3 linked regions of the Bombyx mori genome follow. The protein of the gene in region 3 binds, or shares a complex with, the protein of the main gene of each other region. Links are inferred from orthologs where the notes say so. Each region holds a gene or a part of one and is shown on either strand. Other genes may lie near its edges.

Region 1 (4,344 bases), on a different chromosome or scaffold from region 3:
AGCAGTAATGAAGCTTCCACTCTTTTTGCATTTATCTTTTCTTTAGCCTGTAATTATAACTTTTGCCTTAATTGCATTGTTCCATATTTTATATTATTTAACATTAATTACAATTCATAATATAATCTAATCATGTCCATTTTTTTTTTTTATTTGTCGAGCCGGGTGCCGAACCTCCTACGAGGTCCCCGCGTCTAGGGGGGTGTGGGACTTTACGATCTGGTAGTCAACACTACAACCAGACACGCGACGCCACCCTGAAGACGCCGGATCGACGAGTCCTCAATGCGACAGTCGACGACAACGAAGCCGGTCTCCGCGGTACGACAGCCCTGCCAGGCCGCCCGGGCGATGCCGCTGGTGTTCCGGGATACCCAGCTGGACCAGAACCAGCCTGCCGGGTCAGAACGCGATACTCCTGCAGACGACGAAGGCCACCCATACACAGGAAAGATGTCCCTCCCCCGGGTAACGACCAAAGTGTCGTCCGTGTAACAAGCTACGCTCAGACCCGGGAGAGGAGTGCTAAGGGCACCCCGCAGGACCCAGTTCGTAGCCGACATTCCACAAGAGAGGGCCAAGGACCGACCCCTGTGGGACACCACGCTCGACGGGAAAATGGAGCACCGCCCCACAGTGCCCGGTGCACACGGCCATCCTGTTCTCGAGGTAGGACCCGACTCTTATTATGTCCTGCATTAACTATTAATTGAAAAGTGGCATACCTCCAATGTTTCTTTAGTTTTTAACTCTGCAATCTCTTTAAAAAGTTGCCTTATGTCTTGGCATGTTTTATTGAAAAAGGCAGCATCCTTATCAGCTGGACGCAGATGAGCTTCAGCTTCTTCAAATTCAACAACACGCTGGAACAATCCATTTAAAACACATTTTGTAATGAATGAAGAATCTTGAAAAATAAAGACAATTTTTTTGGTGTACTGGGATCTTGTTCAGTTTACAACTTCTCTAAGTGTTAATATTAAACTTGTTTTGAAGATCACAAGATATTTCACGAACAGGATTCACTTAATTTTTATTTTTGTTAATAATAAGTTAAAACTGAAACAAAAACTTCAACAGAAAATATAAAAGCAACAGCTTGCTAAACCAGGAGCCACAAATATAAATTCTCATTTATTAGTAGAACTATGTACTTAAATTTACATTATTATACATATTTATGGTACAGAATAATGAGTCTTGAGGTTATGTTACATCTTATATATTTTGGTCAATACCTTGTATACATCAACGGGAACTGGCTTTGTTCCGTCATTTGATGTACTTGTATTTAATTTGCGCCGTTTCTTAACAGCCGTTACTTCTTCTTTTCCCATGTTTAGTTTTATTCAAGTTTATCAGATTTCATCCAAGTCTGGAACTTTAAAAAAATCACTAATTTAAACAGACAATTACAACCTTACTGCCTATTCACTCTATTCACTGGATTTGTTTTTATATATTAAAGCTTTTACTAGCATCGTTCACGGTAATGTTTGAATTATTTTTCTTTTAATGTTAGCCTTTAATTTGAAAGGTAGTCTTTAACTATGATTTTTTTTAAATTATACTTCATTATTGTACCTACTCAGCAATAGACATGCGTAGTTCCGGACCTAAATAGTTCCTGGAACTATGTCCTCATATGGAACTATATCATTCAATCCGAGTTGTCAAAATTAACATGTTCAGACAGTTCCATTTCCATTCCAAGTGTACTGTTATGCAGGAACTACGAACGCGTTGAACATGACGGACATGCGGACATGATTAGAGCATAGGTACCGCGCGGCGCGGAGGCGTGGCGCGGCGAGTCCACCCGAACGAGTCTCGAACCGACACGAGTCCACGTAAAGAGATAAGGCGACATATGGCACGAATACGAGAGAGTGAGATGGAGCGAGTGCATGAAACTGCGTGTGGAGCTCTTTCATATTACATTTTTATTAATATTGAAGTTATGCTCTACGACCTACGTGTTACAGTCGATAGTTGAATAAATTAAAATGTTTTGCTATGGATTTTGACCTTGACCATGCATCATTCCTACGAGCACTTAACCTTAAGTGTTTGTAGACCATTTCTTAGAAAATCATAATTCAAAATTCGAGAATTTTAAAACATTCACCACTTTCGCTATTCGGTATCTCGGTTATGGGAAAAAGGTTGTAAGGCTACAACGAGCTCAATTTACGTTGTATATCAGAATAACGTGGTATTTTAATTAACAACTGATAGGTTATAGTTTTCGGTGCATCGTACAATACCTACATTGAAAAATAATGAAAGTAGTAGAGTAGTTGAAATTATGACAAAGTAATTACAGTACATTAATAAATTATGCAACCAGCTGTAACAATGAACCTAAAACTAAAAACCTTACAAAATAATATTACAATAATAATTGCCATAAGCGGCAATCTATTTTTATATAGTGCTTTTAAAAAATTGTATTTTTAATACCTTTTTTGAAAAATATTGTGTAATTAATAATAACTTAATACGTGATTCGCTACACTACAAACAGTTACTAGACTTAACATGTCCGCGGAACTAAACAGCTTCAAACAGCTACTAGACTTAATATGTCCGCGGAACTAAACAGCTACAAACTACAAACAGCTACTAGACTTAACATGTTCGTGAAACTAAACAGTTCCGCGAACATGTTTACTGGAACTAGTTCCGACACTCAAAAGAACGATGTCATGTTCAATCCAGTTCCGAACATGATTAGCGCACGTCTACTCAGCAATAGCAACTCTCCATAAATGTCAGTAAATGTCAGTTAAGCATCCTCAAATATTACCTATGTGATAATCTATGTGTGCATCTCTCAGCTCATAGATTTCGACTTTTTGGCGGGAATGCGAGGAGTGAAGCTGTGTGATATGTTTTATTTTGTCTATTTGGTATTTCTTCAGGTTTGAATGTATGATAATGGTGGTTTATTACCTGTTTAGTATTTGCGAAAGGGCACAAATGTGGGAAAATGAAACAAAGTCGCTAGACGTAACTCCTCGGGATCCTCCAAAAAGTCCACTGAAAGAATCTCAGTAAATGACCACCATTTTACTGAGATCATAAATATTTCATCCCATATCATCTCATTTCATTTAATTTCATCCCAGTTGATTAGTTATCTAGTTTATTTTATATAAAATGACTATGATCCCTTTGCCTCTTTAAGTACACAAAACAAAGGACATTTGTTTTTGCTTTCCACCTTGAGAAGGTCAAAAATATCACTGCTGTAATCGCGCCAGCAACCAAATCCTTATATTTTGCCAAACCCGGCTTGTAAGGTGCAATTTTGTTAAATAAGGATATCGCTTAATTTAAGGTTTGTAATTTATTATTATTATGATGTGTATGGATTACAAAAAAGTGGAGTAGTGCAAAAATTTTCAATACAAAAAAATTAGATGCCGATCATTAGCCATCCAATTTTACGTAAATTTCATTGTATCCGTTGAAAATGACTAATTCTTAAACCCCGTGAGCGCAATGAATTTGTAATAAACATTTTAAATCAAAAAATATTTTAAAGTAGGAATTATGATTGTACAACCTATGTTTGACCTTGCCGGCGCATCTCATTCGATTAGCGTTAGCAATAGAAGTAAAAGTAATAGAATTAATCCTTTAATACCCTCAATCGATACAATAAATCTTTTTGCAGTATTCAAGGTAAGTCTCGTGACTAGGCTGTGTGCTTTGGAAATCAGAAGTAGTAATAAGTTGAAATAATGGGGTGTTTTATTAAGCAAATAAGAGTGTCAAGATCCTAAATGGGAAATTGGTGGTTGTATTTTAGGTCTCGGTGGTTCTATGTCTAAGATTTTAAAGGTTGCGTAAATTGCTGGATGTGGGCTATGTAAGACCAGTCATTGTGGTAAACCTTGCTTATATACAGCAGTAAATTTCTGTGGGCTGATGATCCTGAGGTCACTGGGTTTAAATCATACTTTCAATTTAATGACTTGTCCCATACATTTCTATCAACAGATGAACAAAAAAGATATCTGAAAAAATTGAAACTAAATTGCCAAATCTAAAATTCACATATACTAAGCATTATATAGAAATACAATAAAATAGTAATTTTGTATTGATTTAACCTTTAGGATCTATTAAAAATTAGTTTTTTGAGATTGAGATTGCAAGTTTTTTTCTGAACTAAATGAAAATTCAAAATTTCCATCAATTTTACACATCTTTTATTTTTGTAAATTGGACAAAGTCATTTGTCCTTTTATCAAGATAGATATACCGGTATACTTTAAGTGTCTTAACCATGTTGATGGGGCATGATGACTTCTAAACTACTGCCAGTGCTCTCCA
Region 2 (2,978 bases), on a different chromosome or scaffold from region 3:
ATCTTTATCTATGAATGGGCTTCGACCATTTTTTTTAAATAAAATCACATAACTGAATAGTGTCGCTGATTACAGGCAACCAATTCTTTATGAAAAATATTTTAAAATTACATACTAATACATTTAATAAATTTTTCAACCTTTGTTTGTAGTCAAATTACGTCCTCATTGGCTTTAATCAAATAGAAACTTTCGCCTATCTTTCTAAATGCTCTGTGTATGACTGTATGACTCTATTGTGAACTTTATTCCGATTTCCGATCATTTGGATAGACTCAAGTTTTTTCTAATTTCAAAGCATGAACGTAGTTACGACATGAACACTCTTAATATCACTTGATTAGAAATACGGCGTATAATTGGAACATTTTTTAGAGATTTTGTACTTATTAATTACATAAATGTTTTCCCTACCTATTCCAGGTTCTCGCGGATGGGTGAACTTACAACCTGCTCAATCTGAGAAAGTTTGTTAATACTAGCTCTAGCAAGAGGAGTGTTTCGCAGAATCTATCACCGGATCGGAATTTAAGCTGCCGTAATAACACGTTTAAGCATGACGAAATGAAATTCTAAATTAAATAAAATTAATCAATTCACACAATGCCGGGTTCCCGGTAAAAAAGTCATTTAATCACTTTTCCACACATTTTTTCAGAGATTGTGCTGTTTAAACTTCTACCCTCTTTTAGTCTGTCAGGTACTTACGTTGTTGTGTAAATTTCGCAGCTATTTTAATTAAGCGTGTAATCTATGCTCCATTTTACGTTGTAATCTAACTGACTTTTTGGCGGGAACGCGAGGAGTGAAGTTGTGTGATTTGATTAATTTTGTCTATTTAGTGTTTCTTCAGGTTTAAATAATAAATAATAATAAATAAATATTTACTAACAATCACGCCACGTTAACTGGTCCCGTGATAAGTTCGTAAAGAACTTGTGTTACAGGTACCAGATAACGGATTTAAATGTAAGATTTTTATTATACGCATACATATATTTAATATACATCCATAACCCTGGAAAAGACATTTATATTTATCATACAAATATCTTCCCTTGGCGGGATTCGAACCCGCGACCCCCTTGTGTAGTGACCATGTCACTTACCACTACACCAGATGGCCGTTATGTGTAATAACGGTGGTTTATTAACTGTTTAATATCTGTGAAAGTGCAAAAATGTGGGAAAATGAAATAAAGCCGCTGGACGTAACTTCTCGGGATCCTCCAAAAAGTCAACTGATAAAATCTCCGTAAATATTTGACTAAGATTTATTTCATCTCATATCATCTCATCTTATTTAATTTAATTTCATTCTGGTTGATTAATGTCTCAAATTAATCATCTTCACTTAATTTCATTTTACTCCATATAATTTTTCATAAAATTAAGAATATTAAATATTAAAGTAGGACATGACCTAAAAGTGTTAGTTACCAGGTCATAAAATCTCTTAAAAAAAGTAGTGAACATAGATTATACACTTCGTATTTCTAATTTCTAGTGTAAGCTAACGCTAAGCATCGCGTGTAAGCATTCTAAAAGTTCCTTGTTCAATAACGTAAACTACTTTTGATTACTATGGCGGATTCAACAGTTTCCGATGTGACTAAGATGAAAGTTGTTGAACTACGTAAAGAATTAAAATCACGTGGACTTTCATACGCCGGCGACAAAGCAGAGTTAATCGCTAGACTACAAGCTGCAATTATATCTCAAGATGAACACACCGACATCAACTTTGAATTTGACGAAATGGACTCGGACGGAGTTTTTGAAGACGAAGAAGTTAAAAGCCAAACAGACGTACTTGATGATACTGCCGTGGACACTTTAAACGAAGATTTAGTTCTTTCGGAACAGTCTTCTACTGCGACAATCGCTGTAGAAACAAAATCAACACGAACATTAAAACGCAAAACCAACGCAGAAACCAAAGATAAAAGTGCAGAAAATGCTAGTGCAAAGAAAATTGTGTTGAATAGACCCTCATCAATTTCACTTGTCAGTTCTAAAACTGTTGATGATCAAATTAATGAAAAATCTGTAGAGCCGAAAACGGCATCCGAAAGTAATAATGTCATTAAAATAAATACTGATCTAGATCCAAAGAAAAGGTTAGAGTTGCGTGCTAAAAGATTTGGTTTGCCTATTAAAATGTCCGAGTCTGAGAGAAAGGAAGCCAGGAAACAAAGGTTTAATCAAAATGATAATCAGAACACCTTCACTAGTACAGGGACGTTAAACGAAAATATGGAAAAACTTAGAAAGCGAGCAGAGAGGTTTGGTGAATCTGTTTCCAAAATAATGACAGATATTGAACTAAAGGAGAAATTGGAAAAACGTAAAGCCAAATTTGGTGCTGTTGCATAGAACATGTTTCTGATAATGGAAAGTCTACTCTAACAAATTAAGATTAGTATATAAGTATTGTTTTAAATAAATAAAACATTCTACTAAGTCAATATTTGTTAAGCATTTTAATTACATATTAAATCATTCGTTCATGTTATAGAATGGCAATTCTTGAAAATCATCAATTATGTGATGGATGACTTGGTTTTGGGCAGAATTTTTACTAATTTCATTAGTATTAAAATCTTGTGGTATATGTAGTGCATATTCCATAAAAGGTTCTTTATGAATATTAGCCCAGCGAATAGCTACATCTTTCAATAAACACTTTCGAAATGCCATACAATGCATGTGTTGAAATTTCTGATAACGAATTCTTGAAAAACCCATTAAGGCTAATGCATAACGCCAGCACTTCATTGTTTTGCTATTTGCTCCAACGTGTTTTGAATCCGGTGTGGTAACAGTAAGCAACCCTCCAGGTTTCAATATGTCATAGGCTTTTTGACATGCAGTTATTCGAAGCTGGGAAGTTGGAATATATTCTAATAAAAAACAAAATGTCACACTTTCATAGCTATTTTCTCCTATTTCTTTAACTTTATTGTCTTCAATTACGG
Region 3 (4,222 bases):
TCCTATGTTATATACAATATACATTAAGTGAATGACATAACAATATTAATTCTCTCTGTGTTACCTATCCTTTGTGTCAGTGCCTAGACAATCTAGTTAGTTGAAGCAGCTTAAATACTACTGCTCCTATGATACCACAAAATGGGAAATTCAAACCACAGCTATATAATTTGTCGTATTTCTTCTTTACGGATCATACCATTTCCACTTTCTACACTAGCGTTATTTTGTTGATTCTTCGAACTGTAACTTGCTGTTTACAGGTAGACATTTTTCAACTTGTCCCCTACACAAGATGGAATACTCCTTAGTTCTATCCTCCATGGCAAGAATGAAGTAAACTTCAGAATACATACAAACTTTAGTAGCAGCACTTACAACTAACAAATACAAAACTATTTTTATAGTAATGTTGAAACTATTTCCTTCTAGCAGTGAATTGATGAATTAAATGTTATAAAATACTAACGTCATAATATGTACGCATCCCAGTCCGTTGGTGAGGAAGAACAAGTCCGATGTATTATTCCATGATATCTCGTTCACTTCAAAGTTAAACTGTTCTTCTGTTACCTGCAATAAATAAATGTCTTAATGTATGCAGTAACTAAATCGATACAAATCACCCTATATTCATGTATTTGAAAAGACAGAATCTCTGGTATGTATCCTCTTTGAGTGGTATTTTTTGGTATTAATTGGTCAATCTTTAAAAGAGTGTCAATAAAAAAATTACAATTGGCTTAATAATACTATTTTATCTGGATGATACAAGAAATATGACCAAGTTAGACAGTGGATTTTAATGATTTTCATACATTTTATATATGTAGTTGAATTTTTATCAATGCTGTGAGAGATGATAGATATGTATGTACAGTCAAAATCTGTTATAACGACATCGAAGGGACTGCTCAAATTCAGTCGTAAAAACCGATAGTCGTAACAACCGGTGATGTTTAATGTGTATCGTGCAAGTACAAACAAATCGATAGGGAATTATTGGAAAAATATATTTATACAACAACGTACATTTTGTTTATTACACATAAGTACAATGCATATTAGTTTTCTGTGAGCATAAAATCTGTAATTTTGGTCTGTTTGGAACACTTCTGCTGTGCGTAGATATTTTGTAATTCACGTTGGATTTTAATTAACGTATCGTCATCGCTCTTTCCAAATGGTTGAAATTGTCGAGTGTGATAACCATATTCCTTTGCTAAGTCTTTGTTTGAAATTCCGCTCTCTAGCTTGGATATAATCCGCGATTTTTCTTCAATATTAATTTGTTTTCTTTTTCATTGCGACATTTTTAAAGTTTCACGAATAACTCCATAAAGTTTTGATGCGTCTTGTGTATAGATAAGTAACAAACTAACTGAAGAGATATGAAGAAGCGGGCTTTGACTCTACTGCATGCACGTGTTTTGTTTCTAAGAATTAGAAAAGACCCTACACTAAACTAAATCCTATTGTTTTCTTTCCTGATTTTAATATCCATTGAAGACAAATGTGGATACCTATTCAAATTGTTTACAATACAGCTTAGCTGGTCGTTCTAACAGATCTAATTCTCCGAAATATTAGTTAAATGTGGTCGTTATATGAGGTATGTCGTTATTAGCAATGTCGTATAAAGCAATGTTTTTAATAAGGCGGTCATATGGCATTCAGCCGGGACCTTTGTTCTAGGTTATTATAACCGGTATGTTGTTCTAAACGATGTCGCAGTAAACGGTTTTGACTGTATATAAGTAAAAATTCATTACTCACCACTTTATAAGTTTTTGTATCGATAAATGAAACTAAATCTTCCTTGTTCCCTACCGCAATGGTGTTGCCATTAGGAGACCATGCTATATTTATGTTTTCACCTTTGGTTGGGATTGTCGCCGCGCATTTGTGTGATCTATAAATTTTATTATCCTGTAGAACACCCTTAGATTTTCTATATTATAAGAAAAATTTAAAATTAATAGTTTAAATTAAGTCACCATGAAAAAGCCAACTGAACTCAATGGTATCAATCTTGTTCAGGAAGATATATTATGAAAATTTACAATAAAGGTATGCCACACTCTCTACCGCAAAATAGTATTAATGTTCATTTGGAACTAACACTTGTCTTTTATGAATACGATGGAATCTCAACTATTGTATTCATGTGTGTTGATATAAAAATTTCTAGATGTTTATAATTTTTTTTGGATATCTCATATTAATATTTATTTATAAAGGGCTAATAATTAACATCCCAGTATTACCGTGTATCCCATATCCTAACAGATTTGTCTCCGCTCGCTGTACTCAGGAGATCAGGATGTGACGCATGCCAGCAGAGTTGATCTACAGAGCCTGTGTGGCCTTTGAAAATAAAATCTTGACTCTGAAATTTACAAAATTTGTGTCTACTTATTTTTATTTCTAGGCTGCACAATTTTTAAGTTATTGCTTAAAAACAAAAAAAAATTTATTATAACCTCTCAAATTTAGTAGGGATTTTAAATATTTTGAAATAAACAATAACTCACCAATCTACTCCTCTCTAAATTAAATATTGCAACGCTTTTATCGAATGACCCAGAAGCCAGCTTTCTACCATCACAGGACCAGCCCACGGAATGTACTTTGGATGAATGTGCAATGTACTCGCGTGTAGTATTGTGTGACGCAAAATAACTACGTAATTCACTTAAATCTTCTATAGGAGCTTGCGAATGCTTTGAATCCTTCATAGCTTTGGTTATCATGTAAAATTTAACATTAAAATTTTAGTTGTTTTCCTGTTAGTGTTTTTTGTTTATTTGACGACTGTTCCTTTCATCGGACAAGCAAAGGAAATCTAACTCATACAGGCAAGTCTTTTGTAATAAATGCCAAAACCTCTAAGTTGTATGAAATTAAGACTATTTGGCAGCAGCACGAGAAGCAAAGTTGTAGGAATGATTTCATTATTTTATAGAAGTAAGATGAAACAGCGCTCATAGAAATGATGAGAATTTACTGAGATTTCCGGGATAACCGAAGCTACGTCCAGCGATTTTGTTATCCTTAATTTTAACCTTTTAGGGTCGTATTAATGCGGATCTGGGTTTGCTTTGGAAGCTGAGAGTAGACCTCTCGTTCTCGCAAAAAGTTTAGAATGCTTTCTAAAAATATCTTTGTAAAGTTCATTTCCATAAGTTTTAAGGTGAACATTACAAAAAGTTACAGAAAACCTTAAAAAATAATTTGTATGCCGAACTTTTACCTTATAATCTTGTACTGTACCTTAGTGTTCGACATTTATTTAATTAACGGGTTGTTACCAGGTTGAATGGATTAAGGCGTAGAGGTGAAGCTGAATACGTTCTGAGATTTAAAAATAAAGACAGTAGAAGAAATCAATTATTTATTCGTCATTCACTTGCCCATGTATTCTCGTCGCCACACCTTTATTTGGCTCATGAAGTAAGCCATTGGAGTCAACCAAACTGTGAGCATAAACGCGCAGTGCAACAAAGCCTCCTGAAAAAAAAGGGAAAAGCACAACGAAAATAGCATTAACAATAAATAATGTATCACATCACACAGCAAGCAGCACTTGGTAAGCCGTGGCTTGGCTCTGCCCCTGGCATTCCTGATGTCTATAACTCATAGACTATGAGCGACGGTAACTACTTACCATCAAGTGGGCCGTATGCACATCCACTTAGAAAGGCAATAAATAAACACAAATATCTGCACATAAGTGCGCAGAGAGTAATTTTTCTGAATTAGTAAACTGATAACCATCCGACATATTATTTTTTAAGTTTACTCATATATTTTTAGTATCAAGCGTTACTTTCTGTGTTAAGCCGCTTGTCAAAATGGAAGTTCGTTCGGTAGAGATCCTTTATACGCTCTTTAAATGGTCTGGGACCTCATCAATCACAATTTATATCTTTTAATGCGTCTGCCGTGTTAGTGGATGTTAGCTTACCTCAATCATCGTTACTTGAACAAGCTTCACTGCAATTCTTTTTTTTTTTCTTACCTATTCTAGTAACCTCAAGGGGTTATATTAGATTTGCCGAACGACTAACTGAGCTCACGAGATTTCTAATCTAGTGACGTTGCTAACACTAGCCCTAGCAAGAGCAGTGCTTCGTAGAATCTATCAGCGAATCGGAAACGCGACCCACTGCGAAGATCCGGCGAGAAACTCAGTGGGATGTGTCTGTGGGTTAAATTCTTA

Evidence for each region.
Region 1: THO complex subunit 3 (region 3) and THO complex subunit 5 homolog share a complex: the UniProt entries of both Homo sapiens proteins name them as parts of the transcription/export (TREX) complex. The link is inferred for Bombyx mori from reciprocal best matches to the Homo sapiens genes THOC3 and THOC5.
Region 2: THO complex subunit 3 (region 3) and SAP domain-containing ribonucleoprotein share a complex: the UniProt entries of both Homo sapiens proteins name them as parts of the transcription/export (TREX) complex. The link is inferred for Bombyx mori from reciprocal best matches to the Homo sapiens genes THOC3 and SARNP.

What each region holds. Positions count from the first base shown.
Region 1 is NC_085114.1:10,650,238-10,654,581, forward strand, and holds the start of THO complex subunit 5 homolog, read right to left. Parts: upstream 2,817-4,344; 5' UTR 2,749-2,816; intron 2,730-2,748; exon of another isoform or gene 2,464-2,729; intron 2,087-2,463; exon of another isoform or gene 1,476-2,086; intron 1,396-1,475; exon of another isoform or gene 1,382-1,395; 5' UTR 1,338-1,381; coding exon 1,239-1,337; intron 864-1,238; coding exon 726-863; intron 48-725; coding exon 1-47. UniProt on the Homo sapiens protein: Component of the THO subcomplex of the TREX complex which is thought to couple mRNA transcription, processing and nuclear export, and which specifically associates with spliced mRNA and not with unspliced pre-mRNA.
Region 2 is NC_085113.1:6,730,830-6,733,807, forward strand, and holds SAP domain-containing ribonucleoprotein, read left to right. Parts: upstream 1-1,584; coding exon 1,585-2,376; 3' UTR 2,377-2,468; downstream 2,469-2,978. Other genes in the region: S-adenosylmethionine sensor upstream of mTORC1, read right to left, coding at 2,500-2,978. UniProt on the Homo sapiens protein: Binds both single-stranded and double-stranded DNA with higher affinity for the single-stranded form. Specifically binds to scaffold/matrix attachment region DNA. Also binds single-stranded RNA. Enhances RNA unwinding activity of DDX39A.
Region 3 is NC_085132.1:2,065,584-2,069,805, reverse strand, and holds the start of THO complex subunit 3, read right to left. Parts: upstream 2,850-4,222; 5' UTR 2,754-2,849; coding exon 2,535-2,753; intron 2,390-2,534; coding exon 2,268-2,389; intron 1,913-2,267; coding exon 1,777-1,912; intron 574-1,776; coding exon 470-573; intron 1-469. UniProt on the Homo sapiens protein: Component of the THO subcomplex of the TREX complex which is thought to couple mRNA transcription, processing and nuclear export, and which specifically associates with spliced mRNA and not with unspliced pre-mRNA.